Arabidopsis thaliana: one gene and its partners. The main gene of each other region encodes a partner of the protein of the gene in region 2 in a complex. Each region holds a gene or a part of one and is shown on either strand. Other genes may lie near its edges. The genes, in order: MSI1, FIE, VEL1 and VRN2.

The links.
Region 1: FIE (region 2) and MSI1 share a complex: the UniProt entries of both Arabidopsis thaliana proteins name them as parts of the plant homeodomain / polycomb repressive complex.
Region 3: FIE (region 2) and VEL1 share a complex: the UniProt entries of both Arabidopsis thaliana proteins name them as parts of the plant homeodomain / polycomb repressive complex.
Region 4: FIE (region 2) and VRN2 share a complex: the UniProt entries of both Arabidopsis thaliana proteins name them as parts of the plant homeodomain / polycomb repressive complex.

What each region holds. Positions count from the first base shown.
Region 1 is NC_003076.8:23,554,090-23,558,769, forward strand, and holds MSI1 (Transducin/WD40 repeat-like superfamily protein), read left to right. Parts: upstream 1-1,922; 5' UTR 1,923-2,022; coding exon 2,023-2,367; intron 2,368-2,470; coding exon 2,471-2,797; intron 2,798-2,962; coding exon 2,963-3,115; intron 3,116-3,252; coding exon 3,253-3,377; intron 3,378-3,489; coding exon 3,490-3,585; intron 3,586-3,676; coding exon 3,677-3,905; 3' UTR 3,906-4,156; downstream 4,157-4,680. Other genes in the region: TTL (transthyretin-like protein), read right to left, coding at 457-890, 1,067-1,223, 1,309-1,410, 1,491-1,772; FHIT (FRAGILE HISTIDINE TRIAD), read right to left, coding at 4,260-4,379, 4,452-4,550, 4,653-4,680. UniProt on the Arabidopsis thaliana protein: Core histone-binding subunit that may target chromatin assembly factors, chromatin remodeling factors and histone deacetylases to their histone substrates in a manner that is regulated by nucleosomal DNA.
Region 2 is NC_003074.8:7,248,299-7,254,476, forward strand, and holds FIE (Transducin/WD40 repeat-like superfamily protein), read right to left. Parts: upstream 4,155-6,178; 5' UTR 3,957-4,154; coding exon 3,780-3,956; intron 2,937-3,779; exon of another isoform or gene 2,749-2,936; coding exon 2,683-2,748; intron 2,584-2,682; coding exon 2,461-2,583; intron 2,374-2,460; coding exon 2,293-2,373; intron 2,201-2,292; coding exon 2,108-2,200; intron 2,014-2,107; coding exon 1,938-2,013; intron 1,832-1,937; coding exon 1,752-1,831; intron 1,660-1,751; coding exon 1,588-1,659; intron 1,503-1,587; coding exon 1,443-1,502; intron 1,358-1,442; coding exon 1,261-1,357; intron 1,159-1,260; coding exon 1,095-1,158; intron 1,013-1,094; coding exon 953-1,012; intron 827-952; coding exon 766-826; 3' UTR 581-765; downstream 1-580. Other genes in the region: AT3G20730 (PPR superfamily protein), read left to right, coding at 1-580. UniProt on the Arabidopsis thaliana protein: Polycomb group (PcG) protein. PcG proteins act by forming multiprotein complexes, which are required to maintain the transcriptionally repressive state of homeotic genes throughout development.
Region 3 is NC_003075.7:14,786,012-14,792,130, reverse strand, and holds VEL1 (vernalization5/VIN3-like protein), read left to right. Parts: upstream 1-1,629; 5' UTR 1,630-1,852; intron 1,853-1,985; 5' UTR 1,986-2,060; coding exon 2,061-2,079; intron 2,080-2,995; coding exon 2,996-3,391; intron 3,392-3,467; coding exon 3,468-4,097; intron 4,098-4,179; coding exon 4,180-5,279; 3' UTR 5,280-5,599; downstream 5,600-6,119. UniProt on the Arabidopsis thaliana protein: Maybe involved in both the vernalization and photoperiod pathways by regulating gene expression. Binds preferentially to dimethylated histone H3 'Lys-9' (H3K9me2).
Region 4 is NC_003075.7:9,474,150-9,480,413, forward strand, and holds VRN2 (VEFS-Box of polycomb protein), read left to right. Parts: upstream 1-1,919; 5' UTR 1,920-2,058; intron 2,059-2,391; 5' UTR 2,392-2,558; coding exon 2,559-2,684; exon of another isoform or gene 2,685-2,854; coding exon 2,855-2,910; intron 2,911-3,080; coding exon 3,081-3,148; intron 3,149-3,245; coding exon 3,246-3,298; coding exon of another isoform or gene 3,299-3,320; intron 3,321-3,515; coding exon 3,516-3,569; intron 3,570-3,652; coding exon 3,653-3,712; intron 3,713-3,794; coding exon 3,795-3,838; intron 3,839-3,936; coding exon 3,937-4,067; intron 4,068-4,230; coding exon 4,231-4,417; intron 4,418-4,534; coding exon 4,535-4,583; intron 4,584-4,778; coding exon 4,779-4,862; intron 4,863-4,959; coding exon 4,960-5,039; intron 5,040-5,157; coding exon 5,158-5,247; intron 5,248-5,335; coding exon 5,336-5,576; 3' UTR 5,577-5,729; downstream 5,730-6,264. Other genes in the region: AT4G16835 (Tetratricopeptide repeat (TPR)-like superfamily protein), read left to right, coding at 1-173, 244-654; AT4G16840 (uncharacterized protein), read left to right, coding at 765-1,011, 1,200-1,216. UniProt on the Arabidopsis thaliana protein: Polycomb group (PcG) protein. Plays a central role in vernalization by maintaining repressed the homeotic gene FLC, a floral repressor, after a cold treatment.

The DNA of each region.
Region 1 (4,680 bases), on a different chromosome or scaffold from region 2:
GGTAGAGGTGTGTAAAGTATACCAGTAGAAGCTGTTTTGTTTTGACATTTTGCGCAAAGGTTTGGAATCGACCAAGATGTCTTAATCTAGACTATTATTGTCCTGCTGGCTATGAGTCTAGATTAAAACACACAACAGTTTTAGAGGCTTGTTTTGTGATCGACCATTTTGTACAAAGGTATAGAATCTCCCAAGATGTTTAACATGGTAATCTATACTATCGTTGTCCTACTCACAATGAGTCTAGATCAAAGCTCGTATTTTCGCTAATTCATTGTTTGTTCTACAGAACTACAAATCCAAATAAATACTCGAATAGACATTATTTCATAGCAATTTTTATACATGTCGAATAAAGACTTCATTTCATAGCAATTTTGATACATGTTCCCGTAGTGGTACAACCAAAACAAAATGTGTTGGAAAGTTGGTGCCGCAGACAGCAGTAGCATAGCTCTAGCTCCCACGGTATGTGGAGAAAGAAAAAGGTGCAAGCAACAGTGGGACATGGAAATGCTCCCATTTCTGTGATTCTGTAACCTGAAATACAATGGAAACATAGGGAAAGAAGCAGCCTGGGGAATACTTTGCAGTGTCGAAGCTAATCCTATATGTCCCTGGATTCAAAGCGTCAACCAAATCCATCAGTGGCCCACTGCGCCCATCTCTATCAGTAGCTGATGTGCCCACACTGGACCAGACCCCACCACCTCCATGAACAAAGGAAGGACCGGTAGTACCACTCCACACTTCTAAGTGCACTTCAACACCTGCAGCTGGAGCACCACGTGAGACGTCTAAGACATGAGTCGTGATCGGTGGCCTACTTCTCTTGGGAGCTTTTGCTTCAGCTGCAACATTCAAATGCCCTCCAATGATTCTCAGACGATCTTACAAAGCGAGAAAGTAGAAAAGGTCACACAGATAACAAAGATAGCCATAAGGGTAAATCCTTGTATTCCAAAAGACACATACTTGATATCATACTGAATCCTAACAGGTTCAAACCCACACAGTCAAACACAAAACTTTGACAAGGAAAAGATTTGGTAAATCATCAATATACCTTGAGGTTTTGTTGAAACAGGAGAGCTAGAGCTGTCAGTTTCTGATATAACTTTAGCCTTATCGGAGAACAGCTTTGCCATTCGTAGCTCTGTTATTTTCATTTGTTCCATAGCAGCAATCTCAAGCTCCACTATTGGCCTATTTTCATACCTTTCCTGAAAAAGAGACGATTTGATGAATATGTAACTTTCTCATTCACTCACACTCAACAAAAACTGATTTGGAAATGCAAAAGTTGACCTTTAACGCATGGAGCATCTCAGCGTGAGTCCTGCCAGAAGCGCAAATAATGAAGATAAAGCCAAACTTCTTTTTGTAAAGTACATTCCATTCGGCAAGCTCCTAAGAAATTGAAAACAATTGATCATCAGAAGAAGAAATCACTGAAGAGATGAAGGAAAAAAAAAGTGAAGATCCATCACCTGTAAAGCAGAAGCAGAAGTTGTGGCAAAGGCGGTTGACTGTTCTGATACGCTCCGACGAGCAAAATCGGAGTTGATAGAAGGTGAAGGAGTATTCCCAATCTGAGGATGAGCAGAGAAAGCTTCAAGCCAATCTGTCACATTAACTTGGTTGAACCAGATGTCTCTTGCAGTATATATTGCTTCTTGAGAAGTTAACGGTCCAGACGTAGACATCTGCTTCGCGAATTCGGAGCTTCCACAGCAAACCTTCCATTCATCTTCTCCGATCTCCATCGCCATTTTTTCTCTCTTTTCTCCAATCCTCACTTCTGTTGACTGGTGTAAGATCAAAAGTCATCTAATTGGGCCTTTTCATAAACGGGCTTTTCAAAAATGGGCCTTTTCTTTATCTTCTTCCTTTTTTTATTCATCATCTTCTATATGTGAATTATTCAGAAACAGAAGCGAGAAGTTTCTTACAATTTGTAAAGAGATCTGTTTTAGGGTTTTGCCTTGTTCTTGTGGCGGGAATAACAAAGACATCGCCGATATGGGGAAAGACGAAGAGGAAATGCGAGGTGAGATCGAGGAGCGACTAATCAATGAAGAGTACAAGATCTGGAAGAAGAACACTCCTTTCCTCTACGATCTCGTTATTACTCACGCTCTCGAGTGGCCTTCACTTACTGTTGAATGGCTTCCTGACCGTGAAGAACCTTCCGGTAAAGACTACTCCGTTCAGAAGATGATTCTCGGTACCCATACCTCCGAGAGCGAGCCCAATTACTTGATGCTAGCCCAAGTTCAGCTTCCTCTTGACGATACCGAGAGTGAAGCTCGTCAGTACGATGATGACCGCTCTGAATTTGGTGGCTTTGGCTGTGCAACTGGAAAGGTGCGATTTTTTATTTTTGTTTCTCATTTCCAACTTTCTAGATTTGATTCTAGGGTTATAACGAGGTAAAGGATGATAAATGTTAGTTTGATTGCTTGTGTAGGTACAAATTATCCAGCAGATAAATCATGATGGTGAGGTTAATCGAGCTCGCTATATGCCTCAAAACCCTTTCATAATTGCTACCAAGACAGTTAATGCGGAGGTCTATGTTTTCGATTACAGTAAGCATCCATCTAAGCCTCCTCTTGATGGGGCTTGTAATCCTGATTTAAAGCTTAGAGGTCACAGCTCTGAGGGATATGGTCTCTCTTGGAGTAAGTTCAAGCAGGGTCATTTGCTTAGTGGCTCTGATGATGCTCAGATCTGCTTGTGGGATATTAACGCTACTCCTAAAAACAAATCTCTGGACGCTCAGCAGATTTTTAAGGTAATGCTTTGGATTTCTATTCGTTTTTAGTTTTGTTTTGTATCATCTAGAAAGGAAGGAATTGCACCCACTTAACGGAATCAGTTACACTTATGAAAGCTCATAGATAGATATTCAGGTTGGTTTCTGTGTTTTCCTTGCTGATGATTATTTTCTGAACTTAAGGCTCATGAAGGGGTTGTGGAAGATGTTGCATGGCATCTGAGACATGAGTACCTGTTTGGATCAGTTGGAGATGACCAATACCTTCTCATATGGGATCTGCGTTCTCCATCTGCCAGTAAACCAGTACAGTCTGTGGTTGCTCATTCGATGGAGGTGAGTTTGCAATATATTAGCTTTAGATACAGATAATACTTCTGGTTTTTAAGCTTGCTTTCCTTAACACTAAAAACCATTGAATCATATTGCCTCGTATGTATTTGCTAATTGTTGAGTTGTTTGAAATGCCTTAGGTTAACTGCTTAGCCTTCAATCCATTTAATGAGTGGGTTGTGGCAACAGGATCAACTGACAAGACTGTTAAATTATTCGATCTACGGAAGCTAAGCACCGCTCTTCACACATTTGATAGCCACAAGTAAGAATGATACGCCATAAATATTGCCGCTTTGAGATGGATTTTGTGTTACTAAGAAGTATTTACAAGTTACAGCAACATCACTAACCTTAATTATGTGCTTGATCTCCAGAGAGGAGGTTTTTCAAGTTGGTTGGAACCCAAAGAACGAGACTATTTTAGCTTCATGTTGCCTTGGTAGAAGACTTATGGTTTGGGACCTTAGCAGGTTTGGGCCGTAGACTTTAGTTCTTTAGTTTAATGTTCATGTATGGTCATGGAGGAGCAATATTGATATGTTTGAGGGTGTCTTATGATAGGATCGATGAGGAACAGACAGTGGAGGACGCAGAAGACGGCCCACCTGAGCTGCTGTTTATTCACGGTGGTCACACTAGCAAAATTTCAGATTTCTCGTGGAACCCTTGTGAAGATTGGGTTATTTCCAGTGTTGCTGAGGACAACATACTCCAAATATGGCAAATGGCTGAAAACATCTATCATGATGAGGATGACGCTCCAGGGGAAGAACCATCAAAAGCTTCTTAGCTTGTTATTTAGTATCCAAAGCGCACTGATCTTATGGGACAGTATTTATTTATACATCTCTGCTATTGTTTAGTTCAAGTATTTAGTGTTCATTGTGTAAAATGAGGCATGAGAGGATGGTAGCAAGTGGGAATTTTTCTTTATAACATGAAGGAGTTGATTCTAATCTCACTAAGTAGTGTCAACCAAAGCTATAACTCTTAGTTTATACCCAGATTGGGCGACATTAGAAAGAAATTACAAATTTGAATCAAAGTCTCTGACATAAAATTTCAAACTGAAAGTCACTTGTCACAATGGTCCTTATTAAAGCTACTGGATAGCTTGGTTTGATTTGATATTGATAAATGATAACTAGCAATCGAAAAGAGATCTGTATTGGGAAGCCTCGTCAGCCATCTCCTGAATGCTCCTATCAACCCGGTCTTTATCTAGATCAAGCTTCTGCTTCAGTTCCTTCTCCTTCTCATCAAGCTACAAGAAGATACCACCATAAGATTTGTATAAAACCAAAGCTAGGAATGTGATCAAAATGCAACAACTTACAGCATCATAGATTTCATCATTCTTCTCAAAGTCACCACCTTTACGAGGCAAGATATGAATGTGTACATGGGGAACAGTCTGTCCCGCTTGAGGGCCATCCTAAGCCATTTTCATGAAACCAAAGTTAGATCGTTTCAATTCCAATCCATTAAGATTTAGACGCAAGAAACAATGACGAAAGAAAGGAGATGTTTAGTTTACTTGGATGGCTAATGTGAGAGAAGACGCA
Region 2 (6,178 bases):
CCTGGCTTTCGAAGAGATGAAAGAGAAAGATGTGAGATCATGGACCTCTTTGATTGCAGGATATGGAAGACATGGGAATTTTGAGAAAGCAATTGATCTTTATAACAGAATGGAGCATGAAAGGATCAAACCGAATGACGTTACATTTCTTTCTCTCCTCTCTGCTTGTAGTCATACAGGACAAACCGAACTAGGCTGGAAGATTTACGACACAATGATCAACAAGCACGGAATCGAAGCTCGAGAAGAGCACTTATCTTGCATCATAGATATGCTTGCGCGCAGTGGCTACTTGGAAGAAGCTTATGCACTGATAAGAAGTAAAGAGGGTATTGTAAGTCTTAGCTCATCAACATGGGGAGCTTTTCTTGATGCATGCAGGCGCCATGGGAATGTGCAGCTCAGTAAAGTAGCAGCCACGCAGCTTCTGAGTATGGAACCGAGGAAACCAGTCAATTACATCAATTTGGCCAGTGTGTATGCAGCTAATGGAGCATGGGACAATGCTTTGAATACTAGAAAGCTTATGAAAGAGAGTGGTTCCTGCAATAAAGCTCCAGGATACAGCCTTGTGTATTGAACTAAGAGAATAAGACAAAATCTCCAGAAAGGGTATACACTGTGGTACAAGGGTGGACGTTAACAAGGCTACAAAGAGCATCTCAAGGTCTCAGGGAGTAGCAACATGATCAGAATTACAATAAAAGAATGGATATCTCATTTCTTCGCACTCCTAATTCATCAATTCCTACAAGACTCAGACCGCTACTTGGTAATCACGTCCCAGCGCCATATAGTCCCGTCCTCGCAGCAAGCAAGAATCGTGCTACAATCCCATGGAAGAAACAGTGTGTCAGAATCCAAAGTTTGGTTTGATTTACAGTAACTATTGAGTCATAAATAACATTAAGAAATTTTCACTGCATTGGTGAGAGAGAAGATGGATTTATACCTTCCATCGACAGACATGGCTGTTTGCCTGATTACAGACTTTGATTGATTGTGTGATAACCTATATGGCAACAGAAAATCATGTCAAGACTAAAACATTTCTTAAAGATCAAACATTGTATCTGAATCCGAAACTAACTTACTTTGTAATCAAAACAGGAGGGCAACTTTTCAAATCCCAGACATAAACCTTTCCTTCCTGATTACCTGATAACAAACCAGCGAGTAATTTGTCACAAAATGAATAAGAAAAGTTGAAGTAATCTATCTATAGAATGCAAATTTGTATCTAACGAGCTCTCTGATTACCTATCGCAACAGAACTTAAATGGAGGTCACAAGAAAACTTGATAAACCAAATATCACACATTGGAACCGGGTATCTTAATAGAACATCTGAAGCTCCCTGCAAACCACAAAAAGTTCAACTGTAAATATATGTGATGAAATGAATGATTATGTTGTGTTTGGAGCAACAATGAGATCCTAACCTCGCCAGGAGAATTCTCTTTCAGTTGTGGTTCCCACAACAGGATCTCGTTGTCCACACTCTAAAATCCGATAGAACAACACAAGAGTAAAGTGTTTTAACAGTACACCAAATGAATTAATCTTAACCATCATTGACTTACTAACCTTTGAGAGGATAAAATCACCAAACCAACGGTTACAATCTACATAATTTGTATGAATGGAAGCTGTAAATACCTACATATAGAAGTAATGTTATTTACAAAGGCCATCACCAATATTTGTATGTCACTTGTTGTTACAAGACAAGGCTAAAACAAAATACTTACAGGGAATTGGACAAATTTTGTGGGGAATTTTGATGGATCATCAGTCCATGTGAATGACTTCTCGACGTACGTCCAAAACTCTATAGACAGCCAAAGAATAAGAAGATCATACAAACGAACCACAAGCCATTTTTCTCAAAAGGTTTTTTAAAATGGAAGTTTATTACAATATGTGCTCGATCGTACCTTTCATTGACCATATTTTAATAGTGGTGTCCATACCACAACTAGCAAAGCGGTAAATATCAGACGGATGAAAATCCTACAATTTTCAAAATAAGATGGTTCCCCTTAACATTGTCTCTATATATTATTGTAGAAAACTAACTGAATTAGATAAAACAATATTGGCTCACCACACTTAGAACTTCATAGCGATGACCTCCAGCTCCAGCAAATATCAAAATACATATCCCAGTTTCAACATTCCACAAACGAACAGATTCATCCTTATTCAATTAAAACGTAACAGCTCTTAATCACCAACAAATAAAAAAGAAGTCAGGATACTTTAGGAAGAAAAGAAAGCCAAGAGATATACCTTGCTAGCAGTAATCACAAGTTGAGGTTTTAAAGGTTGTGTCCTGATTTCGTTCACTGAATCTCCATGACCCACAAGACTCTGCACATTTGCGAGCACAGATTATACAAGAAAGATATAGAATCATTTGCTAGGATACATAGAACATCCATAAAAATGCAATAATACCTTATGAATCGTTTCACTGTTGACGTCAATGACTCGGATTATACCTTTTACTCCTCCAGCCGCAACATATGGGTTCCCATTAACGCCACACGCCCAACTTACCGTGTAAAACGACTCTTCCTTCTGCTCTCCAGAGGACATAGACAAAATATAACCAAATGGCCTCAGTGAAACATCACTTACTTTAATTTGATGGAAAAGCTAATATGTATGCTTCCTTACATCTTCATCAGCATAGGATTGCAATGCTGATATGGCACCATCTCCGAGACAATTGTACAGAGTAATCTACATAATAAGAGATACACCAATGGCAGTAATGAGATTCATGAACTAGCTAAGTAAAGGTTAAATGAAAGAACCCCTTGGTTAAAGCTTCTATGAGAAACTCAAATATTTCTAACTAGTAAATCATTCAATTTAAAATCCAACGGAAACTAGGAAAGATGAAAAAAACTACAACTAGTTAAGATAAGTATATTGAGACTGAGCAACCAAACAACCTTAGTGCGGAAACTGTTAGGCACACAACATTATAAAGAGAATGAGACCTAACCAAGTGTGTAAGATTACAAGTTAACTCTACTCATTGCCGATTGGACCCCAAGGACTTTCACATGGTATCAAAGCCCACTAATCCCAAATGCTCGACCGAAGACGATTACAAATTAACTCCACTCATTACCGATTGGTTTTTCATGGAACCCGAGAACTTTACGCGGTATCAGAGCCTACTAAGCCCAAACGGGTATCCGATCGATGTTTCGACGAATACAAATGAGCCTAAAGAGCCACTATCAGGTACATTCGGAACCCACATTGAAAACAAAATAGAGCAGTCTAATGTATAAGGTAATGACTTCACTCTATCTAGTTTCAAAATTAGAAAAAAAAATAACTTCCACAAAATCTCCAATACAGGAAAGCTTAAACTAAACGCTTCATAACTCACTTGATGACCGTTTCAAAAGGAACCTCCTTAGATAAGCAGACTAACAACATCAACCAAAGTTTCAATTTTTTTTAGAACAGAATGCAAATCAAGTGTATAAGGTAATGAGTTCACTTTAAATTAGAAAACAAAAACCATATCTTCCACAAAATCTCCAAAACCAGAAAGTTTGAACTAAATGTTACATAATCTTAGACTATAGCATCAAGCAAAGTTTCAATCTTTTAATCTCACTAAAGGCTAGAAATCAGAATCCAAAATCAAACACAAAAGGAAAGGCCTTAATGTTACAATCAATCTGAATCAAAACCTAAACAGACCCAGAATTGAAAACAGTGATTTCGAATTGAAAGTCGAGATCTTTTACCCGATTTCCACCAGCGGTAACGAAGACATCGAAGAAACGAGCATCAAGGAAGTTGAAAACAACAGCATACAAAGGTTTCTTCCCTTCCTGAATCCTATTCGTCACTTTGTACGATTTCTTATTCGATGGAGTCAAAGACCCAACTATTGACTCGTTCCCTAAGGTTATCTTCGACATTCGATATTCGAAATCTCTCTCTCTGTCTGACTCTCGCACACTAATCTAAGCTCACAAGTCTCTCATGCAACAACAACTGGTGTTTTGTAATTTTCGATTAGACACAGATTCACAGGTTATTAAAATTACTGTAACCGTAGATTTTGACCTCACGACAAACTTTTATTTTGGACCTGACACAACACACAACTCACCTTTTAGAAAAAAATGGTAAGAAAAATCAAATTTAACGTTTTTTAATAGGACTTAGAATTAAACGTTACGATGAAAAATAAATATATTCTTTGATTGATACGATCGAAGTTTACCTATTTGTCTTTCTTTTTTTTCAAAGGAATATTATAGATTTGATTGAAATTTTCTGAAAGTAGTAATTATTTAATATGTAATCTTATATTATTGACCATTCATTACTATTAGTTTTACTAAAAATGGTTAAATGATATAAGGTTTGGATTTAAATGGTATCACGTTTTTATGTTTTGAAAACATTATTTTGTCAATTACATACATTTCTCAATTTTATGTAATTCTTTTCTTCCACCCAAATTTTACATATTTTTTTACCTTTTTCTCAAATTTGATACTCAATAGCTACAATTCCAACAGTACCACATATTTTTTCCATCAAGTTTACTGTATGCAAATATGGATCATTTCTTCTGGACTACACCTCCGAGAGTTTATATATCATAGTATCCATGGGTAATACGATACTTATGGAAAGTTTTATAAGATTTACTTGTAATATTGCATTAAGCCAAAATGGAGGAACGAACTTGGCTCTATAATCGACCATAGAAGTGCTCTGTTTTATTTAAAGCTTACTTTCATCTCTTACCTTAAGTTTTTATTTTATTTTCTTGCACTTTAACTAAAATAGATTTTAGATACACCAAAACAAAATCAAGATCACCGATATAAGAATTAAAAAACATAGATGCAACAACTAATAGACAAACCATAACCAATTTGAAAATAGAAAGTGTGCTAAGTAGGTTTGATGTCCGCCTATTTGAAGTTGTAAATAAATTGATTTAACATTTTATCCTCTCACTGTTGTTATTTACCATGATATCTCTTCGTTGAGAGCATTTTACTTATTTAAAATGTATTTAATGGATTTTTAAAGGGTTTATTTGAATACTTTGGAATACTTTTCCAAATAAGTCACATTATCAAAAAAGAAAATTAGAAGTTCACTATTTGGATATAACGATTTGAACATCTCCAAACAAGATAATCAAGGTCCAAACTTTGAGAAACTCATCGATAACGACAAAATTTGCGATAACGACAAAATTTACGATAGAGTCCAATCAATGTTTATAGGAAAGGAAGACAAAAAAATACATGGTTATAGTTTATTTTAATATATGTTGAATGTAATATATGAAATTATAGTGCTTTAATTATAATTTGAAATAATCAGTTTACAACGGTACAAATTATATAATTTAAACAAAAAAATAGTTTAAAGCAATTATGGATAATTTTCGAGTGGTATTGTAGAATATCACGTGTGGAAAACACATTTGTTCAAAAAAATTTAGAGATCTATAGAACCTCTAGTTTTAAACCCTAGGAGTAAACAAGTATTGAAAGCTTTTGTGGTTGTTGTGTACTTGCTCGCTTCCTCGTACAACTCTTATAGGAAAATAGCATTTCTCCTAGCACTAAGTTCTGGAAGCGAATGCTCCCAAAATCTCACAACTAATTCACAATTGCTCCTATAGGATCGAATAATACGTGAAAACTGAACTGGTATCCGAGTAAAAACCAAACTAAACACATTACTCTTCTAATTGTACCCGATAATTTTTTATTCTTTCCATTCTAATTTTTTTATTCGATTAAATTGAAATTTTCCGGATATTTTGGATATTTTTCAATAGTTTGAGAATCTAAGTAAAAATATTTGAATTGAACAATATCCAAAAAAATGCACTTTATAATTACCACCTTTGTACCAATCCTATTATAAATTCAAGTAATCAATATATAAAAACAAAATTGTACTAATAAACGATGACTAGAAGAAAAAAATCTAGCATCTATATAAAGTATAAAACCGACCGAAAATTCTAGCCGTAGATTTAAAACGAAAAAGTTTCTGATAAAAAATGATTAAAAATTAAGCAGTAAAATCTATCCATTTCATATTATCAAATTCCCTACAAAAGAAAAGTGTTTAAAAAAAATATTGAAGGAAAAAGATTCTC
Region 3 (6,119 bases), on a different chromosome or scaffold from region 2:
TTGATCTAAAATTCTTGGACGCTTTGATTTTGGCTACACCGATTAAACATGTCAATGAAAAGTCAACGGGATTTTTGGCTTACACGTACGTAGGATCAAACAATTTTTTAGACATAACATATTTGTCATTATTTTGAATCTTAAGAGCTGTTAATTTGAAAAATTATAAACCTCACTTTTTCAATATAAACATGTATGTTATCCGTACTAATATTAGCTAGCTTTTACTATGGCATAGCTATAGATGATTGCTAACTAGGTTAGGTGGAGATTCAATAACAACAAATTAAACGATACGAAAGAAGCATGACCATGTACTTTACTTATCTTCATATGCTAGCTGTTGCTAATTATATGTGTTTCATTTATCGTCTTTACTAATCGCTAAGTCTAACGTACCATATATTACATATTTAGATCGTAAGTTTCATGTCCAGTACCTTGATTCATGTGACCATATCTGTATACTAGAAACAGTTCGTCTGACGTAACATATTTTGGCATAATAAAAATTATGGGTACACGATTGTTAACCGATGTAAATACAAATTAATTAAGAGATGTAGAACTTTTAGACAATAAACAAAACATAAACGAGAAATAAACTACAGATACAGTACTTGAAACTCTTGAACTCTTCGTGATAGCTAGAAATAGAAATCTGCGTCTTCACAGTTGACAAGAAACCTAGAAAAACAGATTAGGTGTGCTATTAACGGTCAGATTATTCTTATATAAGTTCGATATGCGTTCTCGAATATTATTAATTTAAGCTAAACTAGACCCAAAACTCCAAAAGAATCCAACATGTTTATCCATATCTACCTAAGACTACTTGTGATCCAAATAATTTTCGAAAAACAATATTTCTGTATTGATAAATAAAGGTCAAATTATCAATTACCACTAATATATGTTTTTAAAAAAAAATTTGCTACAATGTTTTTGCAGGTGTACTGTGTTAGGCACATGTCGTTTTATACCCTTCAAATCCAAGTTTTTCCCGTTTGTGATGATAGCCAATGCTCCCGTAACACACACGTATACAAATTTGCCAATGTCTATCTAACACGTGTTATTACGCAACATGCTTATTCCAAAATAAACAAATTAAGATGAGATAAGTGTCACATAATTATACAATATGAAATAATATCAATTGCATACCTATTTTATATACGTGAGTGACTCGTAGGAAGTAGAAATCCTCTTTGTTTTATTAGGAGCATATATCTTCTCAATTTACTTTCTTTTCTTAACTCTCACGAATCCTCTTTTAATATTTTCTTAACTCTCACGAAAACAATTCCTTTTAAACTTTGAAATTTCCTTAAAATTGAAAAGTTCCTATATATGAAACTGAAACATGATATAATTGACCATCTTATATTTCACTTTCTACTATAAAACAATTCAAACTGTAAAAAGAAGAAGAATTTACTAATCAATCTCAAAAAAGTAAAATAAAATTTAAACACACAGAAAATTACGAACGTTACGAAACCAAAATCACAGAAATAACGTGAACATAAAAAAAGGGTAAAAAATTAAAATAAACTCTTTTTTACCCTTTTTGGGGGCCCACCAGAAAACTGCATCTCTTATAGGCCTCTCTCTCTTCCATAGACCCATCTTCTTTCTCTTTCTCTCTTCCTATCTCACAGCGACAATCTCTATCTCTCTCTATCTCTTCTCCGCTCACAGCGAATCTCTCTCTCTCTCTCTCTCTCTCTCTCTTCTCCGGTGTATTCCGTTCTCCGGGAATTTCTCCGAAGAGGGAGAGAGGAAAAAAAAAACGTCCGATTCAATCTCTTCGTTGCTCGACGAATTTTTCTTAAGCTTTCCTTATTGGGTAACTTTCTTTCCTTTTATACTTTTTTCCCGATCTCTCTCTCTCTCCTCTGTTTTATTATTTCACTCCCAAATAAAAGTTTTTATTTTTTTCCATTGTTTTACCTAATTTTTATGTTTTCTTCACATCGCAGAGATTTGAAGATTCTGAGTGGTTGTTATGATAATGTGGGTTTGATTAGTTCTTCACACACAGCTTCTCTACGCTCATGGATTCTTCTCTCGATGGTATTCACTTTTAGATTTCTGGGTTTCATTGGTTGCTTAAGATTTATCGATATCCGTGTCTCTTTGTTTTTCCCTATAATAATGTTTCAACTTTCAAAAATAAATAAATAGTCTTACTTCTCTTTGTTTTTAGCTTTGATGATGAATGATGAAGCTTTGGATTCTCAAATTTGTGTTTATTTTATTCAATTGTTTTCGAAAGTTGGAGACTTTATATACTTTTTACTAAGTTGCTACTGAGTTTAGATTACTAATCTTTCTATTTTCTATTGCAAGTTTTATGTTTTCTAATTGGTGATTATTCTAAATGGTGGGTCTTTACTTTTTTTTTGGTTGATTGGTTCTAACTTCATATTCTTCTGTGTATGTGTGTGTGTGTGTTTCTTCCACTATCATTGGTTTGATGAATTCTGTTTTTTAATTTAATCGTGCGTCAGAAGACTATATGACTTTTGTTCTGTGTATAGAATAAGATTCCATGATTGATGAATGTGGGTTCTGTTACCTAAAAGAATCATGCTTTCATTCTTTGCTTTGGATCTTTGGTTTCAGAATCATCTTGAAGAGCATTGATCTTTCCTTTGTCATGTTGTTTGGTTCTCTCTGATTCTTTGATGTCTATTGACCCAACCTTATCAACATTGTTGTCCTGTGGTGGTTGTTGAACTATCTTTGTTTTTAGATGAATAAAGTGTTTTAGTTTTCAGTATTCTAAATTAGCTTTGTGTTTGTATTTATTTGAATTTGGAATCATTCTTCTTAGTTTTGGTAAACAAGAAGATCAGACACAAGTTTCTTTGGTACATTCTTTTATTAGTCTTGGATAGTTTTGTGTGTTTCTGGTTAAGACATTGTTGTTCTCCATTGCCTTCACTTTGAGTTCACATAATTTGACTTCCTTTTCTTCTATATGCAGGAGCTGCAGGTGACTCATCGAAATGCAGTGAAATGAGTGTTGATGAGAAGAGACAGCTTGTTTATGAACTGTCGAAGCAATCACATCTAGCTGCTGAGGTCTTGCAGGCATGGAGCCGCCAAGAGATTCTACAGATCTTATGCGCAGAAATGGGAAAAGAAAGGAAGTATACTGGTTTGACCAAAGTCAAGATCATCGAGACCCTTTTGAAAATTGTATCTGAGAAAAACTCTGGAGAGTGTGAAGGGAAGAAGAGAGATTCTGATTGTTTGCCTATTCAGAGAAACACTAAGAGACAAAGGAAGGTTGATAATCCTTCTCGGTATGTGATTCCAGCAACCAACATTGTAACAAGCAACAATGCCTCAGGGAGCTGCAGCTCGGTTAATACTAAAGGTAAACAGTCTTCTTTTTTTGGTTCAAAGTTATCAACCTTTTTGTACATACTAACCCGGAAATAGAATTTGGTCAGGTGAGAGTACTACCATCTACTGCAAAAATTTGGCTTGTCGTGCTGTACTGAGACAGGAAGACTCGTTTTGCAGAAGGTGTTCATGTTGCATCTGTCGTAAGTATGATGATAACAAAGATCCTAGTCTCTGGTTAACATGTAGCTCAGATCCTCCATTTGAGGGTGAGTCTTGCGGATTCTCGTGTCATCTTGAATGTGCTTTCAACACTGAAAAATCCGGTCTTGGAAAAGACAAGCAAAGTGAGGGATGCTGCTTCTATTGTGTCTCTTGCGGTAAAGCAAACAGTTTGCTTGAATGCTGGAAGAAGCAATTGACGATTGCTAAAGAAACCAGAAGGGTAGAAGTGCTTTGTTACCGTCTTTTCTTAGTCCAGAAACTATTGAAGAGCTCAACTAAATACCGAAATCTGTGTGAGGTTGTGGATGAAGCTGTCAAGACTCTTGAAGCTGATGTGGGTCCTCTCACTGGTCTTCCTATGAAAATGGGTAGAGGAATTGTAAACAGACTTCATTCGGGACCCGATGTGCAGAAACTTTGCTCTTCTGCTCTTGAATCTCTTGAAACTATAGCAACTACACCTCCTGATGTTGCTGCATTACCTTCACCTCGCAGCTCCAAGATGCAGCAAGGTCAGAACTTTTGTACCCTTCAATGATTGAGTAATATATTAAGTTTGTTGAATAATGTTGATTCTCTGATTTTGTTTCGTAGATTGTTCTTATGTATTGAGCAATGAGATATCTGCAGATACAGCAACCACAGGATCAACCAAGATCAGGTTCGAGGATGTAAACGCGACTTCACTTACAGTGGTTCTCGCCTCTAATGAAATTCCCTCACCTCCAAACATCGTTCACTACAGTATTTGGCATCGTAAGGTACCAGAAAAAGATTACCCGGAGAAATCGACTTGCACATTGTTTATTCCAAACACAAGATTTGTTGTCTCTGGATTAGCTCCAGCTTCTGAGTACTGCTTCAAAGTTGTGTCCTATAGTGGAACCAGAGAAATGGGCGTTGATGAAATCAATGTTTTGACACGTAGCGCTGAAGAAGGAGCGAATTGCTCTTCGGCAGTGGAAAGAAGCGTAAGCCCTCTCACAAATTGCAGCACATTGTCTTCTAATCCTTCTTCTGTTGAAGCTGAGTCCAACAACGATTACATTGTCCCAAAGAAGCCATCTTCAAAGAACGAAGACAACAATTCTCCTTCAGTCGATGAAAGTGCTGCGAAAAGGATGAAGAGGACAACCGACTCAGACATTGTACAGATTGAGAAGGACGTTGAGCAGATTGTGTTGTTGGATGATGAAGAACAAGAAGCTGTTCTGGATAAGACGGAATCTGAAACTCCAGTCGTGGTTACTACGAAAAGTCTTGTTGGTAATCGAAACAGTTCAGATGCGAGTTTGCCAATTACTCCCTTCAGGTCAGATGAAATCAAGAACCGTCAAGCTAGAATCGAAATATCGATGAAAGACAACTGTAACAACGGTGATCATTCAGCGAATGGAGGAACAGAAAGTGGATTAGAGCATTGTGTGAAGATCATAAGACAACTCGAGTGTTCAGGACATATCGATAAGAATTTCAGACAGAAGTTTCTGACTTGGTATAGCTTGAGAGCAACGTCACAAGAGATTAGAGTTGTGAAGATATTCATTGATACATTTATTGATGATCCCATGGCTTTGGCTGAGCAGCTCATTGATACTTTCGACGACCGTGTTTCGATAAAGCGTTCTGCGGTTGGTGGTAGCGGTGCGTCTGCAGTTGTTCCATCTGGATTCTGTATGAAGTTGTGGCATTAGAGAATGGGAACTTGTGCTCTGTTTTTTTCAAGTCATTTTCAAAACGTTATTCTAATTATTGGGAAATTTGCATTATTGGAACATTTCCATGCAAGAACAGTAGTACTGTTGCTATCGAATAGATCGTCTTTGTCGGATTATTTATTTATTTTTAGTGGATTTGATTCCATTTATAATTTAGTAATTAGTCCTAGACTGAATTATTCTTATTTCGTTGACTATTGGATTATGTTATTTTATCAAGTAGGTTATGAAAATGACCATTTCTTTGTATGAAGCTGTGAGAACAGTGAAGATTTTAAGTTCTTTCGAAATTAAATTTGTTTAAACTTTATATTTTGTAAATAAAGCTATCCAACTTTATTGGAATTCGAAAACTGCAGTAACAAATGCAACAAACTAATACGTCATCGTCATTCATCATCACATAAAGGTTTTTGGTTTGATTATGGGTTCCATTAGTTGATTTAAGCACAAAGAGGTTGCAGAGACACTTTGTTTGTTTTCTCTAATATATACATCACATTTGTTTGTTTGTATACGTACATTCATAACAACAAGCAATGAAAGTATATATATAGTTTTATTGGGGTTCGTATCAAACAGATGTCAAAAAGCAGAACTAGTGTTGTGTTGAATTTTCCAAGCATCATCTCTTTGGCTTCATTGATCTTAGAAGCACGATAGTGACTTTCTCCAGCGTTCGGGTGGTTTGCAACAATCACTCTACATGTCTACTCTCTACTATCCTAAACTAGACGAACCACAGACTAAGTACAAATTATGAGGTTTGATCTCAAGTGTGTTGAACCAAATACCTCTGACATATAGTAACCTGCA
Region 4 (6,264 bases), on a different chromosome or scaffold from region 2:
GTAGAGTGCACAAGAATGTGGAATTGGCTGAATTTGCAGCTGAGAAACTGCTTCAGCTAAACTCGCAAAATGCAGCCGGGTATGTGCAGCTTGCGAATATCTACGCATCGAAGAATCGTTGGGAAGACGTTGCAAGGGTTCGCAAGAGAATGAAAGAGAGCAATGTTGTGAAGGTAGAGCGAGTCAAAGTTCGATTCTTTATTCGAGTTACAAGACTCTAATGTATTTACTTGACTGTTTCAGGTACCTGGATACAGTTGGATCGAAATACGAAACAAAGTTCACCATTTCAGATCAAGTGATCGGATTCACCCTGAACTAGACTCAATACACAAGAAACTGAAGGAGTTGGAGAAGAAGATGAAACTAGCTGGATACAAACCGGAACTAGAGTTTGCTTTACACAATGTAGAGGAAGAGCAAAAAGAGAAGCTATTGTTATGGCACAGCGAGAAGTTAGCTGTTGCATTTGGTTGCATAAAACTCCCTCAAGGTTCACAGATACAAGTGTTCAAGAACTTGAGAATCTGTGGTGATTGTCATAAAGCAATCAAATTTATCTCGGAGATAGAGAAACGAGAGATCATTGTAAGAGACACCACAAGGTTTCACCATTTCAAAGATGGGTCTTGCTCTTGTGGCGATTACTGGTGAAAAGAGAAGAGCTTTGACTCTCTCATTGGTCAAACCTGACTGTATTTATATGCGTTATTGTGTGGTAAAGTTTCGACCTTTGACTTGACAAGTTGCCGTTAAGAAGAGAGATGCGTAGATCAGCGAGTGGTTCTAGAGTTTTGGATCATTTTCCGGCGACTTCAAGGTCTCCGCCTCGATCTCAGAGTGTTACAGCAATGGAAGATGATGTGGAGCTGCTTTTGCCTAGGTACGATCCGAATTCTCAAGCGGGGAAGAGAGAGAAATCAAGATTCAGATTTTCAGAAAACGTCATCCATTTGATTCCTCTCATTCTTCTTCTCTGTGTCGCAATCCTCTGGCTCTCCTCTTACTCAGGTAAGCCGAGAAATTGTTTCAATCTCTATGAATCCATAATTGATCTGTGAAACTTAATTAGGGATTTTACAAAGACTCATATGGATATGAGGATCGAGATGTCTCTGCAACGTTAGAATCTTGTGTTGAATTATGGTTTCAATTTGTTCATATAATACTAAATCGGTGATGGATTTGGAATTTGTCAGCAGCGTTAAGGAGTTGAGTTCCAAAAGCAACATGTTGTCTTGTCTCCATGGGAACTCATATTCAGTTTTGGGAAAGGAAACAATTCTTTTACCGCCGGTGATTTTGTGCCGCAAACCATTCGTATTTGTAATTTTTGGTTCTGTAGACACACAAAAGGATCTCTCGTTTTCATGAAATGTATGTTTAATATTTCAGTGATATACATCACACAACTCAAGTAGAAAACACTGATGGTTATCCATTAATCATTCTATTGGTCGAAAAAAAGATTAGTTTCAACTTAATGCCACCTTAGGATTATATGTTCCTGTGAGTTTCAGCTAGCCAACTCAACTAGAGTTAAACAATGGAATCAAAATACATATTCAGTAATTTATTTTAAACTCTGACTATTTATGTAAAACACAAATGGAAATCAAAATTGAAGGTCATGAAGATTCTATTCTTAGTGTGAAAAGTATAGATCAATGATTCTTAATTTCTTCATCCTCCACGCATAGATCAATGGTGAATATGGTTTTAAATCCTCTAATACTCACTGTACTGCCATGGTAGAGTTAAAAAAACAATTTTAGAAATATTAGTGGATTAAGGCATTAAGCTGTCCAAGTTGCTTGTATTTTCTTTTCATTTTATTAATTAAAAAAAAAGTTCAACTATTTATTGACTAATAATAATACGTGTTAAATGGTTATCGGTTTAAAATATGGGCCATAGGCCCAGACTTGAAGAAAAACTTGAAACCCAAAGTTTTATTTTTACTTGTTTTCTTTCTCAGTGAATATCTCCCAATCAAGCTTCTTCAATTTTGCTTGCTCTCTCTCTTACACGGCCAATCGGTGTTTTCGCAGCTTTCAGGTTTGTCTCAATCTCAAATTAAATCGGAGTCAAGTAATAACAATTGATAACCCTAATTGTTTCAATTATATTGTAAGATTTGAAATTTTGCAGTAGATCCGGAATCGTATTCTAGTTCTGGAATCGTTGATCTCGATGGAATTTTTTTTAAGATTTCTTCATACACATTTGGTTCAAAAGATCACATAATTTTATTTTAATTTGATAAGTATGATGATTCTGCTAAGTGGCATTGGATAAAGTTTTCATTTTTGCAATACGTCTAAACTTGTCTATGTCTTGAATGAACTCTCTGAGTTGCTTAAAAAGTCTTGTGCTTTCTTTATTACACAGGCCTCAATACAAGACATTCTATATAAGCATATTGCAGAAGAGGCGGTTCTAATTGTTGCATGGAGTTGAACAATATGACGTAGGGAAATTCTAATTTAGGGGAGGCCTCAGAGTTTGCACTAACTTCATAATCAGCTCTGGACGTTGTTGATTGTATTTGAACAAGAATGTGTAGGCAGAATTGTCGCGCGAAATCCTCACCGGAGGAAGTGATTTCAACTGATGAGAATCTCTTGATATATTGTAAACCTGTTCGACTATATAACATCTTTCACCTTCGCTCTCTAGGCAACGTATGATTTGGCCTTCCTCTCTCATCATTTTAGCTTAGTAATCTTTCATCTCCTGTGTAGATCACCCACTAATAGTTTGAGTTTGCTAAGCTGATTATGGTCTGACTCATGGCGAGTGTGTGCTTCTTTTGTCTCCTAATGTTATTTGAACTTGTTGTTTGTTGTTGCAGCCATCGTTTCTGCCAAGATGCTTGAACTACAAAATTGGGGCAAAGCGCAAAAGAAAGTATGCGTTTCTTCTTGAATGTAGTTGCCACAGTGATATGTTATTTATCTTACTTCTAATATGGAAGCTGATGAACTATTTATCTTTGTTGAGTAGATATGGACATAATGAATGGTTTCTTCTTTGTTCATGCTATACACTTATATTTTACAAAATTGTGTTTTGCTTAGGTCAAGATCTACTGGGATGGTAGTTTTCAACTATAAGGATTGTAATAATACATTACAAAGAACTGAAGGTTAGTCTTTTTCTGTTCTTCGACAAAATTCGATGTCAATGTCTATGTTTCTCTAGATGATTTGTTATTTACTATTTTTTTCTGTATTGTCACGCAGTTAGGGAGGATTGTTCTTGTCCATTTTGCTCTATGCTATGTGGTAGCTTCAAGGTGGGCAACTATTACAACTGAGGTTTCTTCCGGGGCCTTTCATATCTAACACTGTGAAATGCTACTGCCGTTTAATGCTATATACTTTCACTGTTTGGTTACATATTTTTGTGTTTGTTGTTTGTCTTCTTGCTCTTTTTAAACTGCTGAGTGTGTGCTTATCTGAGAAAACATGTTCCAGTTCGAGCTTACAATCCATTGTCTTGTGTCTATGCAGGGGCTGCAATTTCATTTGAATTCATCTCATGATTTATTTGAATTTGAGTTCAAGGTATGTGGTTTTATGGAATTTCTTGTTTTGCCTATGCCGTTAGTAATGAGGTTATAGTTAAAAAAGGGTCTTTCCTATTGTAGCTTTTGGAAGAATACCAGACAGTTAATGTTTCTGTAAAACTTAATTCCTTCATATTTGAGGTCAGTTACTTTAAACTTGGTTAATTGGGAAATCCTATAGCTGGTGAAAATTTGGTTTATATTCCATCCTTATTTGTACTAGGAAGAAGGAAGTGATGATGATAAATTTGAGCCCTTCTCTCTCTGGTAACTCTCAGAACCCCTTGATTAAATACCTTAATAGCAGTAACTCCTTGCTTTTCTTGTCAGTACTTCTCTATAAATCCAACCACAATGTTTTGCAGCTCGAAACCTCGTAAGCGTAGACAAAGAGGTGGCAGAAATAACACCAGGAGACTTAAAGTATGCTTTTTACCGTTGGATTCACCCAGTTTAGCTAATGGCACAGAAAATGGAATTGCCCTGCTGAATGATGGTAAAATCACATCTTCTTCTGTGGTATTCGTTGTGGCTTAGAACTTCATTTTACAGAAGAAGATACAATGTCCTGATTGTTTAGTTTTTGTACTTCTCCTCGCATTCTTCTTGTGAGGGTAATGTTACCAGAACTGATGTACAAAATTAATGGCATGCTACAGGAAACCGTGGTTTAGGATATCCCGAGGCAACAGAGCTTGCTGGACAATTTGAGATGACTAGCAACATTCCACCAGCCATAGCCCACTCTTCTCTGGACGCTGGTGCTAAAGTTATATTAACAACCGAAGCTGTGGTCCCTGCTACTAAGACAAGAAAGTTATCTGCTGAGCGATCAGAGGCTAGAAGGTTTGTTCATCATGACACCCCGTCATCATAATTACCATACCTGTTGTTACAAATGTTCTTCCTATTATGGATAAGTGTTTACTGTACTGCCATATTAACCGAGAAAATTTCTTCCAGCCACCTACTTCTTCAGAAACGCCAATTCTATCATTCTCACAGAGTCCAGGTGATCCAAGTTCCTTCACCTACTTCTTAGGCATTTTCTTTAAATTGCTCATGATGATATCTTATCAAAGCATACTTGGTTTGTTCTCATCTAAATTTGTATTTTGATTCTGTATGTATCAACGCAAAAAAATTATGTCCATGTTGTCTCCGTTTTATTGCCACTAACCAAAAACTGCATGTTTCTTGTGACAAGCCAATGGCGCTTGAGCAAGTAATGTCTGATCGGGATAGCGAGGATGAAGTCGATGACGATGTTGCAGATTTTGAAGATCGCCAGGTATTCCATGATTTCTTTCTGCGTTCATTAAGTAGGCAACAGAAAATGGTATACGATGTAACTTGCTAATGGCTTTTGAAACTTAAAAAAGCTGCAGATGCTTGATGACTTTGTGGATGTGAATAAAGATGAAAAGCAATTCATGCATCTTTGGAACTCGTTTGTAAGAAAACAAAGGTAACTACTTCTCTTACACTTGAACACACACAAAAAGACCTTATGTCTTACATTCCATACCTGTCTAAATGATTCTGCTTATGGAACTTTGAGCTCAAATTATGATTGATGTTTGCAGGGTTATAGCAGATGGTCATATCTCTTGGGCATGTGAAGTATTTTCAAGATTTTACGAGAAAGAGTTGCACTGTTACTCATCACTCTTCTGGTAATATAAGTACACCAAACATATACAGACACATAACTACACTATCAATTTTGTTTCGTTTTTCTGAAAGAAAAATAAAAAATTCCAGGTGTTGGAGATTGTTTTTGATTAAACTATGGAACCATGGACTTGTCGACTCAGCCACCATCAACAACTGCAATACCATCCTCGAGAATTGCCGTAATACCTCAGTCACTAACAACAACAACAACAGTGTGGATCATCCCAGTGACTCAAACACCAACAACAATAACATTGTGGATCATCCGAATGACATAAAAAACAAGAACAATGTTGACAACAAGGACAATAACAGCAGAGACAAGTAATTAAATAGGAAACACTCCGGTTTAGATGATACCGATCTATCGGATTGTAACTTATTCTTCTTTCTTAAAAAAATTGTTTAGGAGCAAACAAAGATTTTATTTGTTAGTGTATTCAACTGATTACATTTTTAGTTAAAAAAATGGATTCTCCTTAATAACTAAAGACTGAAAAATAAGATAAGTTTCCTTAATTTTTCTTTTTGACTTGAGAAAAAGCTCCTCTAGACCTCTAGTAAATAGGAGTTATATATTAATCAAGTACATAACATAAAAATATATATATTAAGTGCAAATAGATTGAAAACAAATCAAGAAATTAATTAAGACACAGTGATTAAGCTTAAAACCCCATTTTGACTTGTTCTTTCTCAATGAATCCCTCACAAGCAGCAAGCTTCTTCGATTTTGCTTTGACACCACCAATCAGTGTTTTCGAATCTTTCAGGTTTGTCTCGATTTCAAACTAGATCGGAGTCAAGTGATAAAATTGACTAACATAATTATTCCCGTTCTCTCGTAAGAGTTGGGATTTAGCAGTAGATCGGAAATCGGAATTTACGTTTTTGTTAAAAGATTGATGGTTTAGGTAATAAAACATAGTTCTGGATTCATTGCTTCTAGTTGATTCTCGAATTGTTTGATTTCGCAATGCACATTTTTGGTTCAAAGGATCACATAATTTGCTTTA